3 linked regions of the Caenorhabditis elegans genome follow. Each later gene encodes a partner of the first gene's protein in a complex. Each region holds a gene or a part of one and is shown on either strand. Other genes may lie near its edges. The genes, in order: dyc-1, dyb-1 and stn-1.

What was found.
Region 2: dyc-1 (region 1) and dyb-1 share a complex: the UniProt entries of both Caenorhabditis elegans proteins name them as parts of the dystrophin glycoprotein complex.
Region 3: dyc-1 (region 1) and stn-1 share a complex: the UniProt entries of both Caenorhabditis elegans proteins name them as parts of the dystrophin glycoprotein complex.

What each region holds. Positions count from the first base shown.
Region 1 is NC_003284.9:14,046,382-14,054,827, reverse strand, and holds the start of dyc-1 (Dystrophin-like protein 1), read right to left. Parts: upstream 5,294-8,446; 5' UTR 5,157-5,293; intron 5,001-5,156; exon of another isoform or gene 4,980-5,000; intron 4,014-4,979; 5' UTR 4,001-4,013; coding exon 3,884-4,000; intron 3,664-3,883; coding exon 3,592-3,663; intron 3,056-3,591; coding exon 2,901-3,055; intron 2,856-2,900; coding exon 2,747-2,855; intron 781-2,746; exon of another isoform or gene 445-780; intron 44-444; exon of another isoform or gene 1-43. UniProt on the Caenorhabditis elegans protein: Together with dys-1 and hlh-1, participates in a common muscular function.
Region 2 is NC_003279.8:1,478,721-1,490,345, reverse strand, and holds the start of dyb-1 (Dystrobrevin-1), read right to left. Parts: upstream 7,264-11,625; 5' UTR 7,241-7,263; coding exon 7,111-7,240; intron 5,628-7,110; coding exon 5,470-5,627; intron 5,424-5,469; coding exon 5,287-5,423; intron 4,493-5,286; exon of another isoform or gene 4,421-4,492; coding exon 4,335-4,420; intron 4,291-4,334; coding exon 4,095-4,290; intron 3,168-4,094; coding exon 2,936-3,167; intron 2,740-2,935; exon of another isoform or gene 2,719-2,739; intron 2,578-2,718; coding exon 2,251-2,577; intron 1,923-2,250; coding exon 1,671-1,922; intron 1,279-1,670; coding exon 1,065-1,278; intron 66-1,064; coding exon 25-65; 3' UTR 1-24. Other genes in the region: acs-16 (AMP-dependent synthetase/ligase domain-containing protein), read right to left, coding at 10,486-10,599, 10,877-11,135, 11,350-11,591. UniProt on the Caenorhabditis elegans protein: Plays a role in cholinergic transmission and as a functional partner of dystrophin (dys-1), necessary for muscle maintenance. Required for localization of ctn-1 near dense bodies in muscle cells.
Region 3 is NC_003279.8:9,497,284-9,507,062, forward strand, and holds stn-1 (Syntrophin-1), read left to right. Parts: upstream 1-3,984; 5' UTR 3,985-4,038; coding exon 4,039-4,134; intron 4,135-5,592; coding exon 5,593-5,714; intron 5,715-6,155; coding exon 6,156-7,071; intron 7,072-7,119; exon of another isoform or gene 7,120-7,182; coding exon 7,183-7,278; exon of another isoform or gene 7,279-7,444; coding exon 7,445-7,537; 3' UTR 7,538-7,548; exon of another isoform or gene 7,549-7,549; coding exon of another isoform or gene 7,550-7,693; intron 7,694-7,724; 3' UTR 7,725-7,875; downstream 7,876-9,779. Other genes in the region: F30A10.9 (PIN domain-containing protein), read right to left, coding at 7,550-7,693, 7,876-8,033, 8,085-8,233, 8,288-8,353, 8,409-8,482; Ubiquitin carboxyl-terminal hydrolase usp-48, read left to right, coding at 9,273-9,454, 9,507-9,764. UniProt on the Caenorhabditis elegans protein: Adapter protein that binds to and probably organizes the subcellular localization of a variety of membrane proteins. May link various receptors to the actin cytoskeleton and the dystrophin glycoprotein complex (DGC).

The sequences.
Region 1 (8,446 bases):
CCGAAAGTGAGTTGATGACGATGAAAAGACGGGGCTCTCTTGGATGTGTATGTGCTACGTCTGCCGAATGCATCGTGCGGGAAAGTGAATAGGGACGCAAAAATAATCAAGATTGTGGAAATTATAGATGTCTCCGGAGTTCTACTTATTTAGGGGAAGATATAATAGTAAACTTTAAGCCTAAAATTTAAAGTGTTTATCCAAAATATTGAACCGCGGGAAAAAATATTGAAAAGAATAGTAGAAGTTTGAACATTTCGAAATTATTCACAATTTTCAGTTTTTAACTAATTTTGCAATGAATAAATAAATATGACTTGAGAAAATTGTTTGCAAAGTGCATTTTTCCATGCCTACGTTTAACACTGGGTGTGAGAATAGGCGGGTATGTGTTTCTCTTCGTTTTGCAACCAACTGTTTCTAATTATTATTGACGGCGCTCGTTGTCAGTGCCTTTCTCTGACTGCCAAACAAAAACGCAAGAAAATCGCAGGAGCAATCGAGCTGCAAAAGAGCTGCGAATGAGGCAGAAGCATCGGGAGTAGAGAAGACGGCGCAGGAGGGGAATGAAGAAGCGGTATCTGAAGAGGGAGAGAAGGATCTGATGGAATGATGGCACATTGGCACGTTTTGCTAGTGTGTCGCACGCTCAATGTGCCAATGTGCCAATGCGAGAAAAAGAGCAATCGGTGTGCGCTTCGTTTTGAGTCGGGGTGTGCCTGTGGATCGGAAGAAGCAGCAAAAAAAATCGTTGAGTGAGTGAGGCGACAGCAATCCCAGCACTTCTCGACAGATAATGATCGATTTGTTGTTTTTGGAGAAGAATTATGACCAAAGCAAGGATCTTTGTTCACAGGTTGGGAGAGAAAATTGGAATCTTTCCCTAGAGAGAAATCGGCAATTTTTGCGTTAAAACATTCAAAGAGATGCTATTGTCTGTTGGGATTTTGCTTTAAATGGTTTCAAATAGCCTGTAGATGCTATAAGTAAACGCAAATCCCTACTCGGCAATTTTCCACCAACTTTAACAACTTTAGAAATGCCAAACGCAGAAGTTGCTAAAGTTGAGAAACAGTTCGATAAAGTTGACTAAAGCAGGCAAGCTTAGTAAAAAGTTGCAAAACGCTAAAGTTGGTTCTTAAGTTGCGACGAATTGCCGCAGGCGATTGTTCAGCAGAAGAAATACAAATTTTTTAATTATTTTTTTTAGGTATTCTCAAAAATGAAGACGGGGAAACTTTTCGAAGTTCTCTCTAAAAATGATACTTCTACTACACTTTTTTGGAAAGTTTCGTATCATCTTATTGAAATTGGGAATCCTTTTCTACATATAAAAATATTTTTTAAACACTTTTTAGCTTCCACAAAATTTAAATTTTGATTTGAAATTACTTTTTCAAAATGGGTTTTCTTGCAAGAAAAAAAATCGAAATTGTGAACAGCTTGTAAAAATCGATAAGTGTGTACTAATGGATATTATTTTAAAATTAATTTTTTGAGTTTGTATTTTTCTCTGAGAAAAATTTCAAAATTTTATTTTTTGTTCAAATTTCATTCGACTTACGGCTGGTTTAAAAGTGAAGAAAAAACATGTTAATCATGTTAATATAAAAAAGAAATCAATTAAAAAAAATTCAATTTTAAGGCGTTTCAATAATCCACACATAAGTCTCCCAAAAACCTTATTTTGCACTAAAAACGTCAGATATGCTGGGCACCAAAACTTGCAGCTACTTTTCATACTTTTCATACAAGGTCTGCGAACACGATACTTGAAAAAGTAAAAAAACTAGATTTTGAAAAGCAGACAACTGGTCTCCGCCAACACGATAAAGAACATGTATGTTTCGTTGATGAGCTCCGAAAAGTTTTCGCTGTCTGTCTGTTCAAAAACATGAAGAACATTGAGCACGTTATGTGAACCCAACAAAAACGTCTAGGATAGGCCGAGTGTAACCTGGAAGTGGAAGCCAGTGAATGATGTTGTGTAATTTACGATGGCAGAAAACAATGTTATTGATTTTTGTTCTTTTTTTTAAGCCAAAATATTGCTTTTTTGATCCATACATTTTATTTTCTTGCTTTCAAATGAAGTATAATCTGTGAAAATACTTAGGATTGCATGGTAATTCTGATTATCATTTGTTCTTTCTTCGATAATTTTTGTTCAAAACGTTTGAAAAATACTTATTGCCACAAAAAATTTGAATGAGTCTTAGAGCTTATTATCATCTTAAATCACGAAATCTTCAGCAAGGTCTGTAGTTTTTTAAATGAAAATTGCATTTTCTTGATAGTAGAAAAATGTTTGGGTAGTGTGGACAAGTGTGTAGACAATTCAATTTTTCAAATTGAGGGGCATTTACAGAATTACAAGAGTAGTATCGCCAATATGAAAAAAAAATTTTTGAGTCGGATAATATTCTAAATTGTGAACAAAATCAGTTTTTCCGCCACTTCTCGAAAATGGGAAGTTTCGGAAATGTAACACCTGTGGGAACTGATTAACAACGCGTTGGGAAATTGTATAGTGATTAAACATCGGTATTCATTTCTATAAATATTATTCAAAAAAAATTCATGTAATACATACTTAATTGAAAACCACATAAATTTTCAAATTCGATAGTTTCACCATATACAAAAAATTCAACATTTTAACTTTTTCGACGCTCTTTCTAAAAAAAAATTTGATCACAGTACTACTTCAATAATAATAATAATAATATTGAAAATAATGACTAACCTTTTTAGAACACTTAAATACATTGCATTTAAATGTGTTACTAGCTCCATCCCGTGCAATGTAGGAAAATATTTGAAGATCTTGAGAATCATGTGACACGTAGAATATCCTTCAAAATTTTTACAATAACAATTTTACAGAAATTTAACAATACCTGTATATTGGGTGAAACATGACAAGTAATTTAGATTCATCCCAAGAGAGACCTTTCTCTTTCTGTTTCTTCCGCTGAAGAACAACTTTGACACCATCGACGGATACGGTAATGTCGACCGGGCGTTTTTTGATACCACGAGCTTTGAATTCGTACTGAAAATGGTTTTATTCAATAATCAAGGAATTAGGAAAATAGATTTTCAAAAGCGTTTTCTTCAAACACTTCAATTTGGTTGTTTAAGAAAAAGTCAGTCAAAATCAACAAATATGACACGGTCAAATTCAAATTCACATCGATGATATGCTTGTTCAAATATTGATTGCTTATGTTTCCTTAATCAACAAAAAAAGTTTTAGATACGACTATAGGTTTTAGGTAAAAAAGTATCAGCTTTTTTGCAGTGTGGCAGATTATTCAATCAACGCCTAGCATTTACTGACTTTAATATTGATTGATTTAACAAACGAAAAAATTGTAGAGAAGAAAACACTAGCAAGTGTAGAATTTGTAAAAAATTCAATAAATTATGATCTTTCAAAGTATTACGATTCTATTTTCTACACTACTAATAATAATGTTGCAACCATGTAATTATACAAATTTTAGATTATACTACTAATTTTCAATTGCAAATTTCAGCTCATTTTGAATATATCTCTATTTGCGAGTTTTTATAAAAAAAACTCACTCGAACTCGTCGCATCGCCGCCACAATCTCGATTCTCGTCCCGGGTCTAGGAATTTCCATGCTTCCGACATACTGCAAAAACCCTTTTTGGATTAAATCCAGTAGTTTTGTTTTTGTTTTCTTTTTGAAAGAAAAAAAAAACTAAACTTCCCACTATGATTAAATTTGCAAACGCGTTAGGACCAAACTTGAAGACAATCTAATCTACACCCTCCGGGCTTTTCAGAATATTCAATGTTCGTTTAAACAAGATTAGCGTTGTACAAACATTCGAATACATCTTTTCACAAACCTTTGCTTCGAAATGAATACCATGCTGATAAGCGAGTTCGTTATGGAGTGGAATACGGCAGTCGTAGACATCGTCGGCGATGATATCGTACGGACCATGCTTTTTCCGCACAGGCATTATATCCTCACCTCTGTAAAATATGAAATAATGATGAAATGGTGGAAATGTTAGTAAAAAAGTATTAAAGAAAAACGGTTAGAGAAGTAAAACAAGATGTTAGATGGTTTCAGCAATAAAAAACATGGGTGTTTTGAAGAAAGTGAATTTTAAACAATAATCAAAAACAAAGTGGTATTAGACACTCGGCAAATCGCTGTTAGTACGGGAGGACGTATGTCGATTACAAATTCCTTGTTATAAACATAACATGTTTAAAAAAACTGAATGAATGTCAATTTTAATAAAGTACAGAGCCTCTGGTTTGTAAATGTTTTTTATTAATAATATTACTGGATTGCGTTTCCGTAATAATACATCTTTTTTGCACTTTCTACTTGACCGAAATGTTTTCGTGCAGATGAAAATAATGAAAATTAAAATATTTACATGATACTACGCAAGACAACATTTTATCAGAAAGAAAATTTGGACTTTAAAACTATTTTCACGCAGAAAAGGCCATGAGGTTTCAAAACCAATTTTTTGTTAGGTTAAGATAGGGCTGGTAATCCAGAGGACTGGCCTTTCCGAATGTACTGATTTTCGGACAATCGGGCGTTCGGTTTTGAACATTCGTGGATTTATGGGAGCGTATATCCCGACATTTTTTTGTGTTCCGCGTCTCATTGTGATAATGCGTGCGTTTCTATAGTAAGCAGCGGAACCCAGAAAATGTCAGGATGTAAGCTCCCCTAATTCCTGTGATAAAAAAAATTTCCACCTTATTTTGCCACCCATGGTGACTCCATGTGGGCGGACGTCCAGATGGCCAGCCCTAGGTGGAAAAATAACAAAAGTTGAAGTAGTGCCAGAATGTTATTTATGCTGAAAATCAGCAGAAAAAGAGATAACATTTTCAACAATTTTCCGAATGTATTGATATTTTAGTCCATGTTTTAGGTACACTATTAGAAATTCATTTTAAAAATTACTATGCTTTCAACTGTAAATTAACAAAGATTTTTTGTGCACTTTGAAGAAAATTGTTAGTTTCATATTCTGACTTTTCAGCCCCTAAACAACTTTCCTACTGATGCTACTCCGTTTCTAAATGGACAATAAACACTTGTTAAACATTTCTGAAAAAAAACGCTCACTCAAAACCGTATCAAACCTTCAACTGCATATCGAGTATATCAGCTACCATGAGCCAGTATACTACGAAGCAATTGTCCGATATCAGGACAATTTGGATATCGTATTGAAACTGGTGGTGACGTTGGAAAACGTTGGGTGAAGAGGTGAGGTTCGCTGAAAACTCAGTGATTAAGCTGCTAAAAATGACAAAAAGGGCACACTATGAAAAAAGAGCAAACGAGGAAAAATAATTGAGTGATGATGAGAAATGATGAGGAACAATGGGCCAAGTAGATGGGGGAGAGAGGAAATGAAAGAAGAAATGAATAACTCATGCGGCAACGCAATTTTAAACACTAAAACCAAATATTTTTGCTTCTGATCATTTTCCTGGAGGAAAAACGGATAAGGGAGTATTGAACAAAAGAGCAAATGCAGAGAAAAGTGTAGGTAGTGTAGCTAAAAGGACTTTTAAGGAAAGTGGACTGACCAAAAGTCCGTCCGCAAATTGAATATGAGAATGGAAACAGGAGGAAAACGGAAGCCGATGTTAAGAAGGAGGGAAAGAAGTTTAGGATGATGGGGGGGGGGGGGGGGGGGGGGACAGAAGAAATAGAAGAAGTTGCGAGCCGAACAAAACTGGAAATTGGTTGGTTGGGAGACCGATGAGCGAGGTTCCCTGGAGACGTTTTCAAATAGGAATATAAAGATTGAAGATGTGTTGAGAGAAAAAAATAAAATAAAAACGCAAAAAAAGAGGAGGGGCGCCTACAAAACGGCTACAAATATGATTGTCAGTGCGGGGGAAAGATATTTCTACTTTCATGGATTTGAAATGAATAAATGTAATGTTATATATATTATACAATACAAAACTTGTGTTACTGTATTTTTCAAGTAGTTCCATGCTTTCATATGAATTTTTAAAATTACCATTATTACTAACACAGCACGTGATGGCAAGCGGTCTCATTACGATTTGATTTACAAAAAAGGCGACGTCAGCACACCTTCAAAAATGCCAAAAAAATCTGTCGAGAAGTCTGCGTCTAGATCCCCGCACATTCCGTAGATCTACGTAGATCAAACCAAAATGGGACACTCTGACACCAAGTGACACAACTCTTATAAACTCGTTTCTCTGATTGATTAGTTGAAAAAAGCTGATAGTATTCACTACAAAAGCAATGATACAAGGAAAATTAGTGCAATATCAAACATTTCGGATTGGTACAAGTAGAATGGCATACCAAACCATTATCGCAATGCATCTAAAAATAATTCAAAAAAAAATTAATGTCAGTTGAATTTCCAACATTGTGACAAAAAATGTGGTGTTAATTATTTTACGTGGTTTCGTATACTGAAAAACTGTATTTATTTACATGTTGATGTCAATGTGAAACATGATAAAAACAAAAAAAAAGCTTCACTATTTAGGAAAACTATATGAATTAAAAAATTACACATAGTTTGCGATTGGGAAACAAATTTCAAAAAAAAGGAAACCATACTTTTTTTTAGATATTGGCAGTAGCATAATGCACTAGAGCAAATATACGAAGTTATATTCTAGAAATTTGAAAGAAACGCAACAAAAATCAAGATGAAAGCATGCAAGTTTTGCTCTTTATATATCGTCTCATCACCCGTTCTTCTGCGACATTGGAAGCAATTATCCACACTATCACTCAGTTCCTAATCGATTTGAAAATAGAAAAAAAAATCGGAAAATGGAGGACAAAACAGGGGCAAAAAGAGAAAAGCGGTCGGCGGGGAAAAGAAAACGAAGAAGCGGTTGCGTGTGTGCCGTACTCTCTCATCGTCTTGTCTTGCGCAATTAGTTGTGATTTTAGGAAGCATGCGTGTGCATGTATGGGTGCACTTGTAGCTGATTGACTTATGCGCATCTCCTTCTTTGATAGAATTGCCGAGTAGAAGAGTTTAGATTTGTTGGAGTGATGGAGAGGAGTCACCGCTCCTCCTCATCCTATTCCTCCACATCTTCTTTTTTATTGTGACTGACTTTGTCGGGAGCCTTGCTCCAAAAACTTACTCTATCTTACTCTATCTACCACATCTTCGTCTTCTTGCGTTGGCCTTTTTCCGCCAACATTTTTGATGTAATGTGTCTTCGGAAGGCGTCTGAATAGAAAACGAAGCAGAGTTGCATGTTTTTCGGCAGTTCTTGGATTAACTTTTGTGGATTGGAATGTTTGTCAGAATTAGATGTGGAACCATCAACTTCAAAAACATTTGGGCCAAGATCATGTTGTGTAATTTAAAAATAACAAAATTATACTTATACTGAAAGAGTTCCAGTTGTGATAGCCAAATTCAAAATAGTCTAGCCCTGCATTGTAAGTACATATAATACGATGAGGCCAGGATAGACCTTTAGTTTTCAGTTTTTGCAGCGTCAATGTTATATATCATATTTAAAAAAATGTTACAGTTTGACACCAGAATTTTAATTTTCAGAAAACGGTTAATTGTGCAAATACCTATTACAATCTAAATGAATCAAATATTGAGGGTATTTATATTTTATTAAACATTGAAGGTTAAGCACCAAAATCTGAGGCTTTTATTTTTTAGACCCAAAATTGCACAAAAATTATCGAATTTTGTAATGAGACGTATTGAAAATTCTGGAAAAAAAGCTCATTTTCAGCTAAAATTAATTTTTTTTCCCAACTTCTCGGCGTCGCAGCGTCTGGAACTCAATGTTAATTAAATTATCACTCTTTGATAAATATTGTGGTGTTTAATTAGGCGTTTATTATATGGGTTAAAAAAATTGTATTTTGTCGTGCTCACAATATAAAATGCTGCACAAATACATTTTAAACTTTTTTAAAATAAAGAAATACAATGACCGAGCTCCAAATTGATTCAACTATCGCAGTTTCAAGAATATTATTCAAAAAACCTGTTTTTCGAGAATTTCATATTTCAACCAGTTTCAGAAAAAAAAATCTGAGAACAACGAAATTTGGATGACAAGAAAAAAAAGAAGGAAAAAGCGCACAGAAGGAAACAGAGGAATAACAATCTAAACAAGAAGACGTCGTTGATTAGCTACTTGAAAAACGTTCAAGAGTCCATACGAAATTTCATTTCCAGAATGTACGGCATGTGACTCTCGAAAGATTGGCACCAAAAGACAGAAATTGTTAAAAAGAGGAAGGAAAATGAGCATTTTCAATTTTCACAAAGACAATAGTGTCAAGACTCGCGTTTCGTATGTGCAATTGACATTGTTCAGTACTAATATGGATGTTAACCAAAAAACATGGATCTGTGTTTTTTTGAAAATTATTTTAG
Region 2 (11,625 bases), on another chromosome or scaffold:
TAATCTGGAGGAATTCGAGGTTTTTCAGAAGCCATTGATTGTTACGCCATTTTCGTCTGATTGAGCTGGAAAAAATTATTATAGGGTCGCCGAAATGGGTCTCGCAGCGAAAAGTATTATTATACGTTTGAGAAGCTGTAAACTTTCCGTTAAAAGGCACACGAGGAAGGTCTCACAGGGAAATGTAATATTATACGTTGGTGACGCTGTAAACTTTCATTTTCAAGGCGCATACAGTGGCTCTTGCAGCTAATAATATTATTATACGTTTGTGAAACTCGGAAGTTCCAATTTAATGGTGCATCAGTGAGTCTCGCAGCGAATAGTATTATTATACATTTGTGAAGCTGGGAACTTTCATTTTCAAGGCGTAGGCAGTGGGTCTCGCAGCGAAGAGTTTTACTGATATTTAGATACCAACAGTAAAATTATTTTCAGAAATTCTCAATTTCTCAGCAGTATCAAAATATGAAAATTATCTATTCTTGGACATTATCGATTTTTTGAAATTTTCGTTATTCCCAATTAGCCGATTTTCGAAACGATTTTGTAATAATCATTTTGGAATTGAACCATTTTTCCGAGTTGCCAATTTTTCAAAATTATTGATTTTATCACAATCGAGTTGCGGTGATCAGAAAAATCTATGTTTATCGATTTTCCAAAATATCGATTTTTCGAAATTATTGATTTATTAAAATTATCGACTTTTGGCGATTTTTTCCCCAAACAAAATAATTATCGATTTTTATCAACCAACGTCGGAGCTCACCCAAATCGAGTTGCCGCAAAAGAGAGAAAATCGATAGTCTTTGCCGATAGAAAATCAATACTTTTATCAATTTTTTATCGCCGGCGAATAATCAATAATTTTATCGATTTTTTTGATTGCCGGGGGAAAATCAATAATATCATAGTTATTTATCGCCGGCGGAAGATCAATAATTTTATCGATTTTCCAATATTATTGATTTTTTAATAAGAATTATCGATTTTTGGAAAATATTTCCAAGTCACCAAGTCATTATATATATTTTAATTTATGAACCAGCGTCACAACTCACCCAAATCAAGTTGCCGCACAAGATCGCTCATATTAGTAGTAATTTGATCAGCAGCATGTAATAAGTCTCCTTGTAGACTTGTCGCCGGCAGACTTCCCGCACGGAATGCATTTGCTACTGTCGAATTGACTCCAGTCAACTGTTGATCCGATGCAGTGAATGGTAATTGGGATAGAGAAGCAGATGATACACCTCCTGATGGTTGGGGTCCCGTCTGGAAAAGGTTTTTGTTGTTTTGAAATCAAAAAATCGATAATTTAATTTTATTGATTTTTTGAAGGTTGAATTTTTCAGAAAAGCCGATATTGAATTTTTGATTTTTACTGAAGCTTAAAAAATCGACAGGTTTACACATTTTATCGGTTTTTATCGCCGGCGGAAAATCAATAATTTTATCGATTTTATCTCCGGCGGAAAATCAAAAACTCCAAAAACTTTGTTTTCTTAAAATATAAAAATTATCGATTTTTCGAATTTTTTGAAAATTATCAAGTATTTTTTCTAAATTTGGAGGAAAATATAACGATTGTTTTTGAATTCTGCAAAATTATCGATTTTTACATTGTTTATCTATAGAGCGCGTTAGCCACAGTAGGTATGACCTACATTCAACTGAGCCATTAAATGCTCCAATTGCATCATTAATTCTCTCCTCCTCTGTTGCATTTCAAACATTTTCTCTTCCAATTCCATTTTCCGGTCGCGGAGCCCGGCGAGCCCGTCATCGGAAGTTGTTTGGCTCTCCAGTCGAGCCATTTCCCGTACCATCATTGAATTTTCTTCTTCCAGTTGAGCAATAAGGGTCCGTTCGTCTCCGACCATTGAACTATTCATACTTCGACCGTTTGATAGGGGATACTGCAATTTATTGATTTTTAAAAAGAAAAATCGATAATCGATCAAATTTTATTAAATCAATAATTTGACTTTCTGCCGCCGGCGGAAAATCAATAATTTTATCGATTTTTTTGATTGCCGGCGGAAAATCAATAATTTAATCGAATTTTATCGCCGGCGGAAAATCAATAATTTTATTGATTTTTTTTGTTTGCCGTCGGAAAATCAAGATGTTTATCGATTTTTTTTATTGCCGGCGGAAAATCAAGATTTTTATCGATTTTTATTGCCGGCGGGAAATCAAGATTTTTATTGATTTTTTCCTGATTTTTTTCGATTAAAAACTCACATCAGCCCTTCCCGACAACTTTGCTGCATATCTCGCAATAAGCTTATGCTCATCATCAATAACTCCTCCATGCGACGCCTGTCCCGGCAGAAGTACCGGTGACGTCGGCCAGTCCGCTGATGACGTGGCAGCGTGTTGCCGGCGGATCGTCGTCGGTGTCGCCGGGACGATGTTGTTCAGGTTTAGCGGTCGAGCAGGTTTGCTGCTGACCGGGCCACCGATTTTTGCGTTAAAAATATCGATGTTTGCATCGCCGACGGTTGACGTGGCAGGAATACATTGGAGACTTTTGTGAATTGAGTGTACGAGCTGTTTTGTCGGCGATTTCTGAAATTACTAAGTTATTGATTTATTGATTTTGGAGTTGAGAACGCTTTTTTCCATAATTTTATCGATTTTTTTTTTGCCCGGCGGAAAATCAATAATTTCATCGATTTTTGATTGCCGGCGGAAAATCTACATTTTTATTGATTGTTTGTTGTCCAGCAATTGATAATTTCTCTGTTAACTAATCGTTTTTGTCGAATGAAAATCGATAACTTTATCGATTTTTTTGATTGCCGGCGGAAAATCAATAATTTTATCGATTCTTCATCGCCGGCGGAAAATCAATAATTTTATCGCGCGCTTTATAGATACATTTTCGTGTACTCCACGTGGAAAATCGATTTTTCAAAAAACTCACATAGCTGGAATATTCTTTCATCTCGTGCTCATTTGAATGATTTTGACTCGTCCTTCCCCGCCAAAAACAGCTTTGACACAACTGATAATTGGCGCATCGCTGACATTTATACCGAAATCCTGTGAAACTTCTGACTTGACACGCATCACACACCACCGGATGGTACACGTTGCTCACAGACGCCATTCGATGTAGCAAGGGGAGCCACATTATGCATGGGGGACATGGATCGCTGGAATATTAATTTTGTATGATTTTTTGATAATTTGACAGAACAGGTTTCAAAGTGTTGGTTGATAAATTTTCAAGAAAATTAACGCAGTGGCTATAGAGTTACACCATTTTGAAGATTCTAGGCCACGGTGAGAACTTCGGTCACCCCGTGGGGGGGGGGGGGGGACCCGTGACCCCATGACAACTAAAATTCGATTTTATTTGATAATTTGATAGAAATTGTTATATAAAGTGTTCTGATAAAGTTTCAAGAAAATCGGCGCAGTGGCTTTAGGGATGCACTGTTTGAAAGTTTCTAGGCCACGGCGAGGACTTCGGTGGCGGCGTGGGGACCCGTGACCCCATGAAAAGAAAAATTCGATTTTTTGATTTGGTTTCATTGAATAAGTTATAGATACAATTATTGCAGAATTAAAAAAAAATTTTTACAGTTTTTCAAAAGTTACACCGCTCTGAAAATCCTAGGCCACGGGGATGCCTTACGTGGCCGCGGGAGGACTTCAGCCCTACGTCTATTATTTTTTCTAATTTTTCAAAATGTTAGGTGTTTCAGAACTTCCAAGACACCTAAATTATTATTCTGGGTGAGTTGAGGGACTGGTTTTCCCCCCGATGGGAGAGGAAATGCATTTTCTCTTTCGCGCGTGGTGTCAGAGTGTCTCATTTCGGCGTGATCTACGTAGATCTACAAAAAATGCGGGAGAAGAGACGTAGAGTTCTCAACTGATTTCACATGATTAAGAACGTGCTGACGTCACATTTTTTGGGCGAAAAAATTCCCGCATTTTTTGTAGATCAAACCGTAATTGGACAACCTGGCACCACATGCTAACGTAGTTTTGTGTAAAAGGTTAATTTTTTCAAAACTTTTTCAAAACTTTTTCTAAAATCTATTTTTTTATTTATTTCCAAAATTGATATCTACCTCAAAAAAGTGTCCAGAAACACATTCAAAGATACTTTCTCATCCTTATGAAAGCACTGATTAACCGCGTTTTCGGAAAATCCAAACGTCGGTGCTTCGAAAACTGCAGTGGTTAGGGAGAGGATTTGTTGCAAAAAATCAGTAAATTTAATATGATCCATTAATCCATTCGAATCAGCGATTTGAGAGAAAATGTCTGAAATTTCAGATTTTTTTTTGAAATTCGCAAGCGCAACTCACATCTCAGCTTGTCCACCAATTTTCCAGCGCAGAGTGTTGCCAACGCGACTTTTATTGAAAAAACCGTCAAACGTCCGGTATTTTGTCTGAAAAATTGGCTTTTGAAGCGTGTGACGTCACTTCTAGGTAGCGGAATATCGGAGTGTCGTTGTGAGAATTACAGCCTAACTGCGCACGGGGTTTTGGCCTTCCTCATTGAATTTTTCGCGCTCCATTGATAATCGCCTGCCGGACGGGAAAGTCGTGTACTCCACACGGACAAATACATTTAGTTTTACAACTAAAATCGAGCCGCGACGCGACACGCAACGCGCCGTAAATCTACTGGCCTAGTTCGGCAAAAACTCTTCCATTTCAATTTATGAGGGAAGCCAGAAATCCGTGACTTTATCAAAAAAAAATTTTTTTGCAAAGTGTCCTTATATGAATAAAAATTCACTGGGAAATTTTAATTCCAGAGATATGAAACCCTGAGATTTTTTCTGCTCTTTCAGTCAATTTTCATTTTTGAAAAATCAAAACATTATGCTGAAAACAAAAAAAAACAGAAAAAATTTCGGATAGTTGAAATCTGTGGGAACCAAATTCCGGTGGAATGTGAAATTCCGCGGATCCGAAAACCGGAAATTTTCTTTCAGTTTTAGGATTTTAAATTTTTTCATATATTACCAAAATTTCTGTTATTTACAGAACATGTGTAGATTGAATCCCGTAGATTCCAATACGCGGAATCAAAATTCTTAGGGAATCTAGATTCTGGAGACACGAAAACCCGAATATTTTTCGTTATTTTTTGCAGTAAAAATTGGAATTCTAAATACACAGTTTTCACGCAGTAACACAAGAAAAAATTCTTAGAATTTCGAATTTGCCGAATCTAAATTCCTGGGGAATCTGGGTTCCGGGGATTCAGAAGCGTGAGTTTTTTGTCCGAGAGGAGTCCAAAACTCACTTATCATAAGCACCTAACAAAAACGCGAGTAGCAAAGAAATCGATACATCCGTGTCCACATGTTGTGACGCTACAAGTCTTTTATTCAAATTGTGGAATACTGTAGTTAGCAGAAGCTCGGCGCGTGACGTTTTGATCTGAAAATTTCCCCCACATTCTCAATAGAGCACACTTGCAACATACCACAGTATGTAGGGGTAATGCATTGAGTCCGTTTTCTCGAAAAGCTTCAATCATATTCCAAATATCTACCAAATGAACTTTCGTCTTTTGTTGAATAAATCGCAGTTTACAGGCGGCTCGATACGTGGCAAATCTGATGGAGTCGAAATCTTGGAGACCTGAAAATGCGCTCTATTGATGATTCAACTTTTTTTCTGAACTTTGGGCATTAACCAATGAAAGCCAATAATTTTTTTGCACTTTTTCGCAAAGAAGAATTATTTATAAGCTTCCCTTTCTCAAGAGGAGTAGCGGAAAAATTCATGAATTTTCAAAAAAAAACTCGGGTAGTTGATATCCACAAAATTCTTAGGGAATTTTCGATTCTGTAGAATTGGATACCGGAATTTTTAGGGTTTTTTTTTTGGATTTTTTTTGAAGGTATTTCCGTGTTTTTTCGACAACATTGAGCATTGAGAAAAAATGTTTTTAAAAAAGTCGGGTAGTTGATATCCGCGGAAACAAAATTCACGGGATTTTTATGCCGCGGAATTGGAAACTCGAGTTTTTTGTTCTTTTTGCGGCGAAATTTTTGCTTCCACTCGTTTGTTATTTTATCCAGACCCTGACTAATTTTCATAGAAAAAAATCCGAAAATTTTATTCCCCGAATGCCAAATTCCCTGGAATCTGGATTCCCGTGAAATTTCGATAATGGGGGATTTGAAAACGCGGAGTTTTTTGACATTTTTTGTTGTGTTAACTTGTAAATTTCATGAACATTTTGGAGAGTGTATCAACTTTGAGCATTTCGTATAAATTTTGTTTTAAAAAATCCAGTAAATTCAAATCCACAGAGTACTTAATTCCAGGGAACTCTAAATTCCGACGACTTAGAAACGTGGAAATTTTTCCGTTAATTTTTTACATAATAAGGTATTTTTTCTACTTTTTCTTTGAAAATTTCCGAAAATTCAAATCCACCGAAAAAAAATCCCAGAGAAAATAAAATTCCGGAGAATCAAAAACGCGGGAATTTTTTGCGTTTTTTAACCAATTTTTCCATGAAAAAATTGAAATTGGAATTGAGAAAAATGGTAAAAAATTTGGGTAGTTAATATCCACGGAAACAAAATTCCCGGGAATTTTTATTCCGCTAAATTGGAAACTCGAGATTTTTTGTCCTTTTTCGGCGAATTTTGAGTTTCCACGTAATTTTCACATTTTCTGCAAAAATTTATATTTAAAAACTCAGAAATCCAAATACGCGGAAGCGAAATTCCAGGGAAATTGGATTCCGTAGATTCAAAAACGTGAATTAAAAAAAAAATTTTTTTGCTGTGCTAACTTGAACATAAATTTGAAAAAAATTTTAAAGAAAAAAAATCCCGTAAATTCAAATCCACCGAGTACTTAATTCCAGGGAAATCTAAATTCCGAAGACTTAGAAACGTGGAGATTTTCCGTTAATTTTTTTTACATAGTTAGGTATTTTTTCTACTTTTTCTTTGAAAATCTCTAATGAAAAAAGATTTATTGAAAATTTCCGAAAATTCGAATCCACCGAAAAATAATCCCATAGAAGTTAAAATTCCGGAGAATCAAAAACGCGGGAATTTTTTAGCGTTTTTTAGCCAATTTTCCCGCAAAATTGAACACCCACGCATTTCATCAATCAATTGTTGCATTTCAGATGCCACAATTGGTGGTACAGAATGCATTGCACGATGATGGTCTGGTGATGGTGCACTGCTCGGCTCACGTGGTCCTCCTCCACCATTTGACCACAACATTTCAGGAGAAAAACCCAGAGTGTCTGAAATTTAAAATTTAAATTTTAAATCAATTTTAAAAAAATTTAAACCAAAACTCCACCCACAAAATGGCTGGCCAGAGCTAAAAAGTGGTAGGGTTTAAAACAAAGAAAATTGGGGGAGCTCTGGCTCCTAGTGGGCGGAGTCTAACTCTGGGAGAGAAGACATTTGGGGGGAGCCTAATGGGTTTTGCATGTATGCGCGCTGATTTGCTTGGCACATTACTAAGCCAATATGTTTCAGGGAACCAACGAGGTTGTCCACGAGGAGTACAAAAAATATTTTTGGGGAATTTCGACTCCGCGGGATTTTAAATCTCAGGATTGAGAGAAAAATAATAACGGTCACGTGGTATCAGGTTGTCCCATTACGGCTTGATCTACAAAAAATGCGGGAATGAGAAATCAGTTGAGAACTCTGCGTCTCTTCTTTTCCCTCATTTTTTGTAGATCTACGTAGATCAAACCGAAATGAGACACTCTGACACCACGCGCGTAAGAGAAAATGCATTTCCTCTCCCATTGACACCACTTGAATCCCGGTAAATCAAAATCCCAGGGAATTTCGATTCCGCGGATTTGAACTCCCGGGGGCGTTTTGTAGAAATTTGTTCAATAAGCGTTGAAATCCACGGAAACTTGATTCGCCGGAATTTTCGTTTCCGTGGATTTCAACTACCTTACGGTTTTTGAGCTAAAATTTTTTTAGGTTGAAATTCGCGGAAACTTGAATTCCGGAGAATTTTGATTCGGCAGAAATTGAATTTGTGAAAAAAGTTTTTTTTCTAATCGGGTAGTTGAAATCCCCCGAAACTGGAATTTCGCGTGTTTCAGGTTTTTAAGCGAAATAGGCCCAAACTTGTCCACGAGAACTACACAGAGTATTCAAAAAAAGTTCTTTAAAAAAAATATTTTCAAAAAATACAACAAAAAACTTGCTTTTTTCCACGCGGAGTACACAATTTAAAGCCTTTTTATCATTAGAGCGTGTTTGTATAAACAATTTATAAAAAAATTTCAATAGAGATTTCCACTAAAGAAAACTTCAAAATTCGGATTAAAAATTTGTCCAATAGAGCGCGATTGCATTGCAACAACATACGAATTTTCAGGTAATATTGCCATTAAAGCGCGATTGCAGCAATAATTTTTAGAAAAATGTTGAAAAAAAAGGGAAAATCGAGCCAAAAATACACGAATTAAAAATTAATTCGTGGTATACGCTTTTGCTCTCGGAGCACTCAAGGGAACACTGGAGAAAGTGAATTTAGGCAAACGTGAGTGAGAGAGAGAGACTTAGAGAAATAGAGAGTATTAGAGAAAGAGAGACACAAGACGGATCGATGTGCAAAAGGAGAGGAGGGGGGGGGGGGAGACGTATTGGCTCAGAGAGCAGCGGTGGGATGAATGTGAGCATACGGAGAAAGATGGAGAGAGAGAGAGAGAGAGAGAGAGAGAGAGAGAGAGAGAGTGCAGAGAAAAAGAGATAGGGGGCCCCCACTGAAACATTGGGACCCCTCACCCCATCCGTCTCAACTCAATGAGGTGTAAAAGTATACGCATTATACACAGGGATATTACGAAGTGGATGAGGAAGAGAAAATTAGTGGCCTAAGTTTTTGGATTTTCTAGGCCACGAAATGAAAGAAATTTTGGCTTAACGTGTGTTTGTTTCTCCACTTTCACAATTTTAAAAGGAGGCGGTTTTATGCGGAATGTTTTTTTTTGTTTAAAATTCGTGTAGATCAGGGGTGGGCGACAAATTAATTTGTCGACAAATTCGGCAAATCGGCAAACTGCTGGTATGCCGATTTGCCGGAAGTTTTCGATTCCGGCAATTTGCCGGTTTGCCGATTGCCGGGAAAAATCGTTTGCCGCCCACCCCTGATGTAGATCAAAATGAAAAAAAAAAAAAAAAAAAAACAGAAATACGAAATAAGAGATAAATTGTGTGATCTACCCGTGATCTACACGAATTTTACACAAAAAACTGCTAAAATGATGACTCGAAAAGGCGGGAAAATACCCTGTGACGTCACATCGCATTTTGCATAATTGGTTTTCAATTTAAGCGCCGATTTTCGTAAAATTTATTAAAATTTTTCAAATAAATTTTTTTATTAATTGGCTTTATTCAATGTTATTGCATTTTGACTCGATTTCTCCACTCAACTTGGGAAAGTTGTGTACTCCACACGGACAAATACATTCAGTTTGACAACTAAAATCAAGCCGCGACGCGACACGCAACGCGCCGTAAATCTACCCCAGATATGGCCGAGCCAAAATGGCCTAGTTCGGCAAAAACTCTTCCATTTCAATTTATGACGGAAGCCAGAAATCCGTGTAACTTTTCACGAGCTCATTAAGGTTTGTATCAATTTTTTCTGGTACAATTTTTTTTTAATTTTAAACGAAGATCGCACGTGTTTTCAGCTCGACCATTTGGTGTCATTTGTGCAAACACCGTCACGCGCAAATGCAGACATTTTTGCACGCGCTGCGGTGAAATTCCTCTTGGCAATGAAAAAAAAAATTATTAAAAAAAATTTTGAAAATTAGAAAATTTTCGAGGCGTTGGTCGAGCTGAATACACGTGGATCGTTTAAAGGTGGAGTAGCGCTAGTGGGGAAATTGCTTTAAAACACGCCTATGGTACCACAATGACATAATATCATGATAAAAAAATTCAAAAAAATTTTCTAAATTTTATATGATTTTTTGAAAATTGAAAAAATCTCAGTTTTTGCCTAATTCTTATTTTAATTACCGCCAATTGGATTTGTTCGATGGAGCGCGCTTGCACGTTTTTATTTTTATTTATTTTATTTATTGTTATTTTCCACCGATTTTTAATGTTTTCGGTGCATTTTTGCTCGATTAAAAAACACGATTACAGGCGTAAATCAGTGAAATTAATTAATTCAGGTTCGAAATCGTTTAAAAGCGTTACTTTTTCATTTTTTTTTTCACACCAAGTGAAAAGTTAGGCCAAAGTTAGGTTCACTTGGTGGCCTTACTTTTTCATTAACTTTTCATCTGGAAAATTAAAAAAAAACAGTTTAAAAATATAAGTAAAAAAGTTTGCGTTTTGAATATTTTTTGACTGCACTTTAACGCGACGGACTAACTTTCCATTTCGTGGCCTAGAAAACAAGAAAGCAGACTTTTAATATTTATCGAAACTCCATTTTACAGACAATACACAGAAAAAACATCTTAAAATTAAAAAACAGAGATTTGTCCGCTCTCCAGCATGGCGCGAATCCGGAATTTTTGAATTTTCGTGTGCACTCTCGGGAAATCATCGACAAAGGCGAACACGTCGGGAGCGACAAACTGAAAATTCAAAAATAGACCTGAAAAGTTCGGCCACAATGTGGGTAGTTCGGCCACAGACTAATTTTGCATCGGTGGCCTAGGAAAAGAGAAAGTTAGGTCACCGAATAAAAGTTAGTCCCCATTGGCTCGTGGAAGATTATTTTTCCGATTGCCTAGAAATCATAAAAGTTAGGCTACAAAACGACAATTTGGGGGTTTCTGCAAATTTGGTGTGTCCTAGAAAGCCATGGCCTAACTTTCTAGAACTTCTAGGCCACGTGCTTCATCAACCTACATGATGTGAACGACACATGCTCTTCAGCTCATCCTTCAGCTTTGCCGCATGAAATTGTGTACTTCTGGCGACACAAACTGCCGTGACCGGTTGTCCTCTACCACGTGACACCACTTGAACCCCTTTTATCAAATCATTCTGATTCAGGAGACGTTCCAAATTCCAGTGTTCGACTAGACAATTATTCTTGTCATATATCAGATCATCCTCGCTTGCCACCACCTCGATCGCTCCGTTTTCGTCCATTCGACCGATGTCTCTGGAAAAATTTATGTTGGTGGCCTAACTTTTCCACTAAGCGGAAAAACTAGGCCAAGAGCTAAAAATTTGGATTTTTGTCCATCTCGCGGACTTGCAGTGCAAGAAGTTAGGCCATTATATTGCATGTGATAGCTAAACTTTTTGAATTGTTAGGCCACCGAGTAAAAATTAGGCCAAGACTACCAGGTGGCCTAGAAGCCTAAACCTCCTACCCAGTATCGACCCATTTCTCTTTTCCTTTCGTATCAGGTGCATATCCCATGAACGTCGATCCATAGTAGACTCGAATCAACAGTTTTCCCAATTTTCCGGTTTCTACTTGATTTTCACTTCCGTCCAGTGGAATCAGATGGGCTTCATAGCCGGCAATGGCTTTTCCCACGTTTCGAGTGAAATCTGAATTTTGATCTCCCATAAGTGGGATGGATCCGGTCTCGGTGAGTAGGTACCCAACCTGAAAATGGAGAATTGTTGAGTTCGGGGACTAG
Region 3 (9,779 bases), on another chromosome or scaffold:
TTATAACATTTTAAATTTGAACTTCGAATGAACCTAAAATTTGATCAGACGATTTTTTAACTGGATCTTCGAAACTCAACGAATGGAACGAGCGTCAAAAAGAACCTGATCTGTGTTATAGGATAAAAGCCAACTGACAGGGCTGCTCCATGCCACGACAAGTTAGAAGAAGCATCAAATGGAGTTGATGAGAAATAGGGGAAAAACTAAGTTATTTGGAATGCTGAGTTTTGAACTCGCTGTGTGCTAATTGATGTGTCAGATGAAGCTTGTTGTGGACGGAACGTAAACCTGAACTTTATACAGACGTGACCTTTGGGTCATCATGAACTTATCGCGTAAGCGACCTCTCTTTATAATTCATTACTTCTTACACTTTCTTGTAATAAACTACTTCTCTCCTTGTCTCTCGCTCAATACACAACAGTGGCGATCAGGAATATCGAAATCACACCAGGACAATGGAATCGTCAGGTAAATCATCCGCTAACGCAAATTTGCTCGCTGAGACGCTCACAACTATGCAAGCCCAACTCCAAACTCAGACTGAGATTTCTCAGCAGGTTATGGAGGACAATAAAATCCAGTCGGCGTTGCTGAAGCAACAGATGGAGATGTCGCAGGCGTTGCTGGAAGAGAATAAGCGGCTGCGCGCGGCGCAAGGGGATCAGCCTAGATTCGTGGCGGGGGTGAAAAACCGCTAAATAGCGTAAAACTTATGAGTGACTTGCTGCGTCAGTTACCCAAGTACCATTTTGATGTGTCGGAACCAGATTCCTTCACGAAGTGGTGGGCTCGGCACAAGCTCACATTTACCGAAGATGGAGCTGAGCTCTCAAATCGCGAAAGAAATCGCATGTTGGTAGCTTGCCTCGAGGAATCGACGTTTCAACGATTTGTAGATTCACAACGTGATGTTGAGGATATCTATAGCGTTCCTTTCGAAGACACTATCAAAGCTCTTAGCAAGTCTTTCGGTTCTCAGCGTAGTCTGATGATTAGACGGCAGAGTTGTCTCCTTATCAGTCGAGCCTCTGGAGCGTCTATGGATCCGCTCGAGTATACGAACCTCGTTGGTGAGGCAGTTCTCGATGCGAAACTCTCGAATATGTCGACAGATGATTGGTCGATCTTTATCTTCTTACGTGGAATGGATGCGCCGGAGGACGCCCTAGCAAAGCGTTATTTGATGCAATATTGCGAACAGTTTGAGCGGAAAGATGAAAAACTCAAGTTATCCGACGTCCATGACGAATGGATCCGTTACATCCAAACGCAGCAGCAATCCAAAGTCATCACAGCAACTCCCGCCAGACATCCGAAATTCGAAGTAAACCAAGTTGATGCAGATGACAAGAAGAAGGATTCGAGAAAAGGAAACTACAGATCTCCGTATTGTTACAAGTGTAAAGTAGTCGGGCACGTTTCAAAAGACTGTCCTCAGAGTTCCACCAATTCAGGTGTGACCAATCGTAAGACTGAGCATTCTGAAGTGAATACGCTCGAGGTTGGGTCTGGAAGACAGACATCGCCTAGTCTTCGGTTGAACGTGGAAGGACAACAGATCGATTTCACTTTTGATACAGGCAGTGACATCACCCTTATCAGTGTCCAGAACTGGCAAAAGATCGGGAAACCGCATCTCGAAAAGGTCCACCACAAAATTTGCTGTGCCAATGGTACTGAAATCGCTGTCAAAGGTAGAGTGCTCGTATGGTTCAAAGTCAAAGGTGTCGAATACACTGAGTATGTGTACGTCTGGAACAGAAACAATAATCTGTTAGGCACCAGTTGGATGCGCCACTCGCCTCAAATGCGTGATGCTCTGGCCGTAATGGTTAATCATATATCCACTGTGGATAACTCGAAGCAAAATATGCACTCGTTCTCAAGGATTCCTACTGGATACAAAGATCGTGCTGAAAATGTTGAAAGACATGTTGTTGCATCTGCGCCGCGTAGTAGTAAGCGCCAGTATGTAAGATTTGCGCGCAATAAAGCGTTTCAGATTGGGCAATTGTGCCTTGCTCGGGTTCAAGGAGAGCACAATTTTGGCTGGATTTATGGAGTGGTTCAAAGACAATTGAACGGAGTACTCTATGAAGTACAGTTGGGATCGAGAATTCAAAGAATTCACACGAACCAACTCCGTCACATTTGCGGTCGCCGGAGCCGTGGGAATGACTATGCTTCATCATTCATCGAAAATCCGTGTAAATTGTCGCTCTTGGAAAACATTCCGCGCTCTAGTTGCCGCCAAAAATTTGTCGCTCAAGGTGTCCGTGGGGAGGGGAGGGAAGCTAATCCAGTTTTAGTTTCAGATTCTTCTGTTTTTGGTTTTAGTGCTCCAGATTTGTCAGCTTGTGATTCTGTTGGTTCTCGATCTGCTCGTGAAGTCGTCTCGTCGGTTGCCGGCAATGCTCGAAATGCTACTTGTGCAAATATAACTACGATTCATGTTACGGAGAGCAAGAGTTCGTTGAAGAAAAGCCACAGAAGACGTCGCCGTGTGGCAAAGAGTCGCCAATCATATACTTCTGGAAGTTCGCCAATCAAAGAAACCCATCTGGACCCCCTGCTGGAATCCGATGTTGCGAGTGACGGCGAGCGTTTCCAACCCGGCATCCTCCTGTGTCATTCTCTTCGACAGAGTCACCCACGACAAGTTGTGCGAGGATCAGCCCCAAACACTGATCATGCCTCCACTCGCCGCAGAGGTCGATATACCGCCTCTGGTCGTGATGCCCCTAGCCCAGGCATAATTTCTGGCTTTTTGTCATATAAGAGGGGAGATGTTGTGGACGGAACGTAAACCTGAACTTTATACAGACGTGACCTTTGGGTCATCATGAACTTATCGCGTAAGCGACCTCTCTTTATAATTCATTACTTCTTACACTTTCTTGTAATAAACTACTTCTCTCCTTGTCTCTCGCTCAATACACAACAAAGCTCAACGTCAAAAAATTGAGAAACAATAACTGGTGGAGGGGAGGGAGGGAAAAAGAAATCAGATACGGTCAATGATCTAAATGTTTGAAGAAAGATCAAGGAACAAGATTCTAAAATTATTCAATTTTTTCTCAAGTTTTTCAGAATTGTTTGACACAGAATAGAATAGCTTTTGGAAGAAAAAACATTGATGGATTTTCAGATGGATTTTCTATAGATTTTTAAAGATTGCATTTCTGCTGGGGTACTGTAGTTAGAGAGCTAAAGTATCTAGAGCAGCAATTGAAAATTAAATTTCATCACGAAAAACAGAACACCTAATAGTAATTTCAATTTATTTCGAAAATAGGAATTAAATTGGATAATATTTAACTTTCACTGTATAAAAAAAGTTGTAAAAGGGAATACTTCTGATTAATGTAGTAATTGCAATTGGTTGTAATATATCGTACGACACAGAAAACTACAACTACAACCAAATGAGAAAGAAAATAAAGAAAAGAATAAAGGATCAACTTGCTTCTTCTCTCTTCAACAATACAATTGCATGTGTTCGTCACGTAGTGTGTAAGTGTTCGTCTCGTGGCGGGAAGCCAACGGGATTCTTCGCCCAACACACAATCATAACCGATATAAATTCGAGGCACCAAGCTGAGAGTCAGATGGAAAAAGAAAGAGTGAGATGTAGAGAAAGAAGCGAGACTCGGAGTGCGCGGTAGAGTTCATCAGAGAGCATGTTAGGCAGAAGAGGGAGCAGGAGTGCCGTCGCACTAGCTCTCCGGCTTCATCCGACGGAGAAGAGAGCAGTTGAGAGAAGAAGAAAAACGAGGGGAAATAGAAGAGAGAGGACTCCTCTGCTGCTCCCACAGCCCAAATATTCTATTATTGCCCCTTTTCTTTCTGTTTCTTTGCTTCTTAGCATCTTTCTCTTCTGGTTTTTTTTCTCGCTTTCCTTCATTCCGCTACAAATCCTCCCGAATTTGAATTCAAATTTTTGGCATAAATTGGTATATGCAATATTCAACTTTACAGAGTACAATCGGCTCAATTTCGTAGTATTGCTCCGATTAGATCGGCGTCGTTTCGATGGCCGCCGTTCGATCCGGCCTGGTCGACATTTTTGTTCAGGGACAATGGCATCGTGTATTGGCTACTCTCGATCCAACTGCTATCACATTACAAGTAATTTTTTAATGATAAAATATTCCGAAAACTAGAAAACCACTGGAAATTATTGTAAAACAACTCATTTTTCGCGAAATTCTAAAAATAAATTGGATGGTTTCTAAAAACGAACAAAAATCTATATTTGAAACAATTATTGTTAAATAATTTAAATTTCGGTATAATAAAATATCATTCATTTTTCTAATGTGGAATGATACAAGTTGCTGAAAAATAGTGGTCGTTCTTATTAATACCAAAATGCGAAATTTTGCTATTCAAGACAAAAGAATACGGTACCGTGTCTCAACACGATCGAGCACGGGTTTCTGGCTCGACCCCTCGGTGTATTTTGTGCAAACACCGTCACGCGCAAATGCATACACTTTTTCAACGCGCTGCGTGAAAATTCCTCTTGCGATTTCAAAAAAATTTTCCCGCCATTTCAGCGTCCGATGGAGCGCGGGGTCGAGCCAGAACCTCGTATCGAGCAGTTATAAATAAATTTGTCGGAAAAGAATGTGCGCCTTTATGAAGTACAGTAGGCTCTAATCCTCACTATTTCGCAGACTGTTTCGTTTTAGAAAAAGCAGCTGCTGGAGATTGGGTCTGGAGATTACTGTAGGTTTTAAAGGCGCACACACATTTTTCACACCTTTAATCCTTTAATCTTTTTGTAAGTTTTCAGTCGTGTCGAGACCAGGCACCGTATTCTGGCGTCATAAAACATTTATTTTTTTACGAAATTACGTCGAACATAAGTTTTCTGATGCCCACGAACGAAATATATCATCTGAAGAGATCCATCTATGGAAACCAGAAACGGGAATGGGATCATATTACAAATAGTCTATGCTTCTTCTTCTTCTTTTCCTTTCGCCACATTTTGGCTCATTTTTCAAAAAAGGAGGCGAGTTGGCTATGAAAACTTATTAGTCGTTCTTGCTAGAAGAAAAAAGAAAGAATGGAATGAGGCTACTTAGAGATGAAGTTTGTATATGATACGACTTAAAAGGAGAAAACGGATGGAGAAAGGTATACTGTGACTACAATAATTATCTTCTTGGAGTCTATATGAACTCTTCGTTCCGACATATATTCTCAAGTATTAAAATGTGTATAACTCTTTTGCTTTCTTATCTTTCTCATCTCTGGTATGACAGTCCAACTGAAATTTTGGGAAAAGACAAAGAAAATATACCATTGCTTGTCAAAAAAGAAGTCGTCATGTCATCTACTCCCCCTTCTCCAAGTATTCCGTCAATCGAAGCTCCGGCTTTTGACAAATTGGTATGCCAGCTTGCATGATTTCATTTTACTCAGTCTCCTCCAAAAATTACATTAGCATGTGTGAATTTGTTTGAAATTGTTTAAAATTTGGTCGGGAAACGTGGAAGGGGATATTTATGAGCAAGGGAAGTGAAATCCAAAGAGAAATGGGTTCAAGCTGTGATGAATAAATATACTATTTTTCAGACAATGGAGCAGAATGAGGCTGAAGCAGAGAAACGGACAGTTCGAGTTGTGAAATATGATGGAAATGGATTAGGAATTTCAATTAAGGGAGGCAGAGACAACAACATGCCTATTGTGATCAGGTATGAATGAACTTGCGGAGATTTATACATCTCGTGTGCCATTTCGTGATTTTACGTCAATTTTGAAATTTTGATCTATGATAAATAATTTTTAGTTTTAATGACAAGGGCAATTCTCTAGAGAAAATTTTTATAATAACTGAAAAATGGAAGAATGGACTAGCAAACCTCGTACACAATCGTGTGTCGATTTACTCAGCGTGTGTACTCCCCGTGGAGAAGCATTTAATTTTTTCAGAAGATTTTACAGTTTTCGGTCAAAAACAGAAAGTATTTCCCGAATTATCCAAAATTAGGAATTTAAGGCGATAACTGTGAAATTGTTTGCAAAAATGTACACTTCTCCTCGGGCAGTACACACGATACGTAAATCGACACTTTTTTTTCTGAAATAGAATGTTTAATTTAGCAATTAAAGAACAAAATTAATTTCGATTGTAGCAAAATCTTCAAAGGAATGGCAGCGGATCAGGCTGGAGAACTATTTCTTGATGACGTCATTATCTCTGTGAATGGAGAAAACCTTCTCGATGCTTCACACGAAGAAGCTGTAAGAGCATTGAAACGAGCTGGACGGGTTGTTGACTTGCAAGTACAGTATAGAAGAGAGGATATGATGCATCGGGAAAATATTGTGGAAAATGTTGAATGGGATGATGATATTCGGGAACGAGTTAGAACAATTGGTTTAAAGCTTGCATATGTGGCAAGAGCTGGAATAGATGCAGATGCAGAAGGTAGAATTCTAGAAATGAGAAGTCCATCAGGAAGGTATTCCCTAGCAATGAGATGTTCAAGTAGTGAAGAAGCAGATGGATGGTTTGAAGCTTTACATGCCTGTACCACGTGTCTTCTGACTCAGGCACTGGCTCAAGTCAATATAATGCTCGGTAACAACCCCCAAGTGAGACATATGGGTTGGATTGCAGAACAAGTATCAGAAAATGGAATTTCAATGTGGAAACCTAAATTTATGACGCTTACGAATAGTGAGATCTTGTTCTATGAAGCTGTTCCACAGCTGAAAGCAGAATGGGCAGAGCCAAGACTAGTACGTCCTCTGGTGGCAACAAGAGTCGTTCAGACAAGTTCTCGAACTGCGCCAGTAATTAAAGGTCTCACTGATGTGATCTCTTTCCGTATGAGAACTGGAACTCAACAAGGTGTTCGGACACATACGATCCGGGTAGAAACTCATGCAGAACTGGCACGATGGGTTCGTGCAGTAGTGATCGGTGGATATGAAGCATGTCTTTCTACATCTCAAGTCTCTGCTCCTTGTCTTTGGCGAGGCGAATCATGCGAACTAATAGTTAATCTAGACAATGGAATATCATTACTTTCGTCGACTGGAGAGGTGAGCTCATTGGAATAATTTAGCAATAAGAAAGTGATAAACGTTTTCTAGATTAAAACAAAGATTTATAACATTTAGAGAAGCTACATTTTCTTAAAGCTTACAATTCAGGTACTGTGGCAACATTCGTTTGAAACGATTCGCGCCACCGGCGATGATGGTGGTCGTTTTCTCTGGGTCGATTTTGGACCACCACATGGTGAACAGGTAAAAATGGATTTTATTTTAACCTTAATTTCATACTTATAGAAAAAAAACGGATTTTTTTTGTGTAAAGTTTTTGAATAAAAAAAAGGATAGGCAACAAAACAATAAAAGCAGATCAACAAGTAATATTCAAAACAAAAGAAGCATAAATGAATGAAAAATTTAGGAATTGGATTTGCTAAATTCCGCAAAGCCAGTCGTGTTCATTCTTCATTCATTTCTCGCCACCAAGGTGTATCGATTAGGATTGTACGCGTGAAGCATCAAAAGGTTAGTTCATTGGAGCTCCATATGCATCAGGCATTCGCTCAATGGAGAATCTGTGATTGACAATGTACATGATCGGAACTCCTGGGATCTTTCGGATGCGGCGCTTCAGATCACGATCACAAGTGGCCACAATATAGCATTTATGCTGAAAATTATATTATTTTTTTCATTTTCAGATTCGTTATTTGTTCAAGTTTGCCAAACAAAAAGACTGCAGCAATACCACATTCCGTCTCCTGCCTCTTCTCGTCATAATAGATTTTATTCGTTTAAGATTTGTTAGATTTTATTAAATGAAAAACAATGAAAAATTATGAATAAACGAACCTGTGTAACTCTTTGAACCAAACAATCATCAGCATATGTTCCTTTGTGCTCACACTTCAGTCTCTGCACACGTGGATCTTTCAGAACTTTCAGAGCAATTTTGAATCTTCTCACTTTTTCCAATTCAGCCAATACACAGTCAGTTGCGTACACAATAGCTGAATTATTGTGATAAAATACAAGAAAACGAAAGAAAGTGTATGACTCACTTTTCGCGAACAGACAATCCATGAATCCTTGAAACATGTCAATGCGATTTTTGACGGCGAAATTCACAAAATTGGTATCGACAATAACGTGAAATGGTGGACCCAGCTGTGTATTGTATTTCATAAACATAGCGGATGAGATTTTTGGACTGAAATTATGAATTATTATTGTCTGGACACATATTCGTACGAATAAAACTTACGCACGGACCAATTTGAGTTCTTGTTCATCTACTTTCGGTGTTCTAATGACTCTTTGTTCTTCTTTTCTGAAATATTGCGTTTTAAATCAAGGTTATTCGATAAAATTATCGTTATCCTTACATTCTGTTGTCTGTCTTTTTGACAAGCTTGTTTACAGCGCTTTTTCTGGCGTTGGACTTCAAGCGTTTACCCATTTTCTGTAAATTAGAACATATATTTGTAAATTAGCACATATATTATCGAAGAAATTTGGAAAAAACGAAGAAAATCTTTAAAATAAGAATCTCGAACAAAATATCGAGACCCGAAGAACTCGGGGGATGTCCAATTGGGGGGATTACCAACTCGGGGGATTGGCCCCGCCCACAGAACCGTGGCTTGCAATACGCCCATTTCTGCAACTGCCGCACGGTTTTGAAACTGTATTTTTCTTGTTAATTCTCGCTCTATTGAGAAAAATACAGTTTCGAAACCGTGCGGCAGTTGCAGAAATGGGCGTATTGCAAGCCACGGTTCTGTGGGCGGGGCCAATCCCCCGAGTTGGTAATCCCCCCAATTGGACATCCCCAGAGTTCTTCGGGTCTCAAAATATCAGAAAAAATTTTTGCGAAAAAGTCCGCAGAGTTGGTGCTCCGTGTATGCACCAGTCAATGCATTTAATCTGACGCACAAACCAGCATTTCAAGAAATTGCATTCAATGTGCATCGCATATTCAAATTTCTGTCAGCTATTTATGTTTTTATTTTATTGCCCCGTTTCTTTTCTCCGCGGACTATTGATTATTGACGATGTGGAATAATTCATACACGAACTTTTAAATCTTAACGCCAAGAAAAAGTGCAAGAATTCAGTTTAAAATTTGAATAAAAAGTAAAATAATATTTTCGCGTTGTCATGTTTTCAAAGTCTGCTTTTATTTTTATTCTTAACGAGAACACTTCCTTTAATAAAGGAATGTCTAAAAAGATTTTCAATTTCAGAAAATGACAAAGGAGACTGACAAAAAGCCAAAAGAACGTCCGAATCAAAGAAAAGTTGCATTTCGAAATGAAGCAATAAATGCATTAGTAAATACAGATGAGGACCAAGTCACATTTTCGAAAGCAATGGAAGTTGCCAAATTAGATTGTCAAAAGTGTCTTCTACACGATATGCATAGTTCAAAGTAAGCATTTTTATTAAACAAACTATAATTAATTTTGTTTTTATCGATTCAGGTCATCGAATTGTCGCGATAATCCATTTTGTATACATCGATTAGGACTCGAGAAGTTTGAAAAGTTGATAACTCAGGAGCAGGAAACTAAAGAAGAAGCGAAAAAAGATCAAAAGCGGAGAGATCTGAATGATCAACCAGCCGGGCTTATCAATGGAGGAAACTTTTGCTATGTGAATAGTTTTCTTCAAGTCTGGTTCAACGTTCCTGAGTTCCGGCAGTTGATCTATGATTTCCGACCATCGGAGAACTTTGTTCCGTTAGTTTTGTTGCC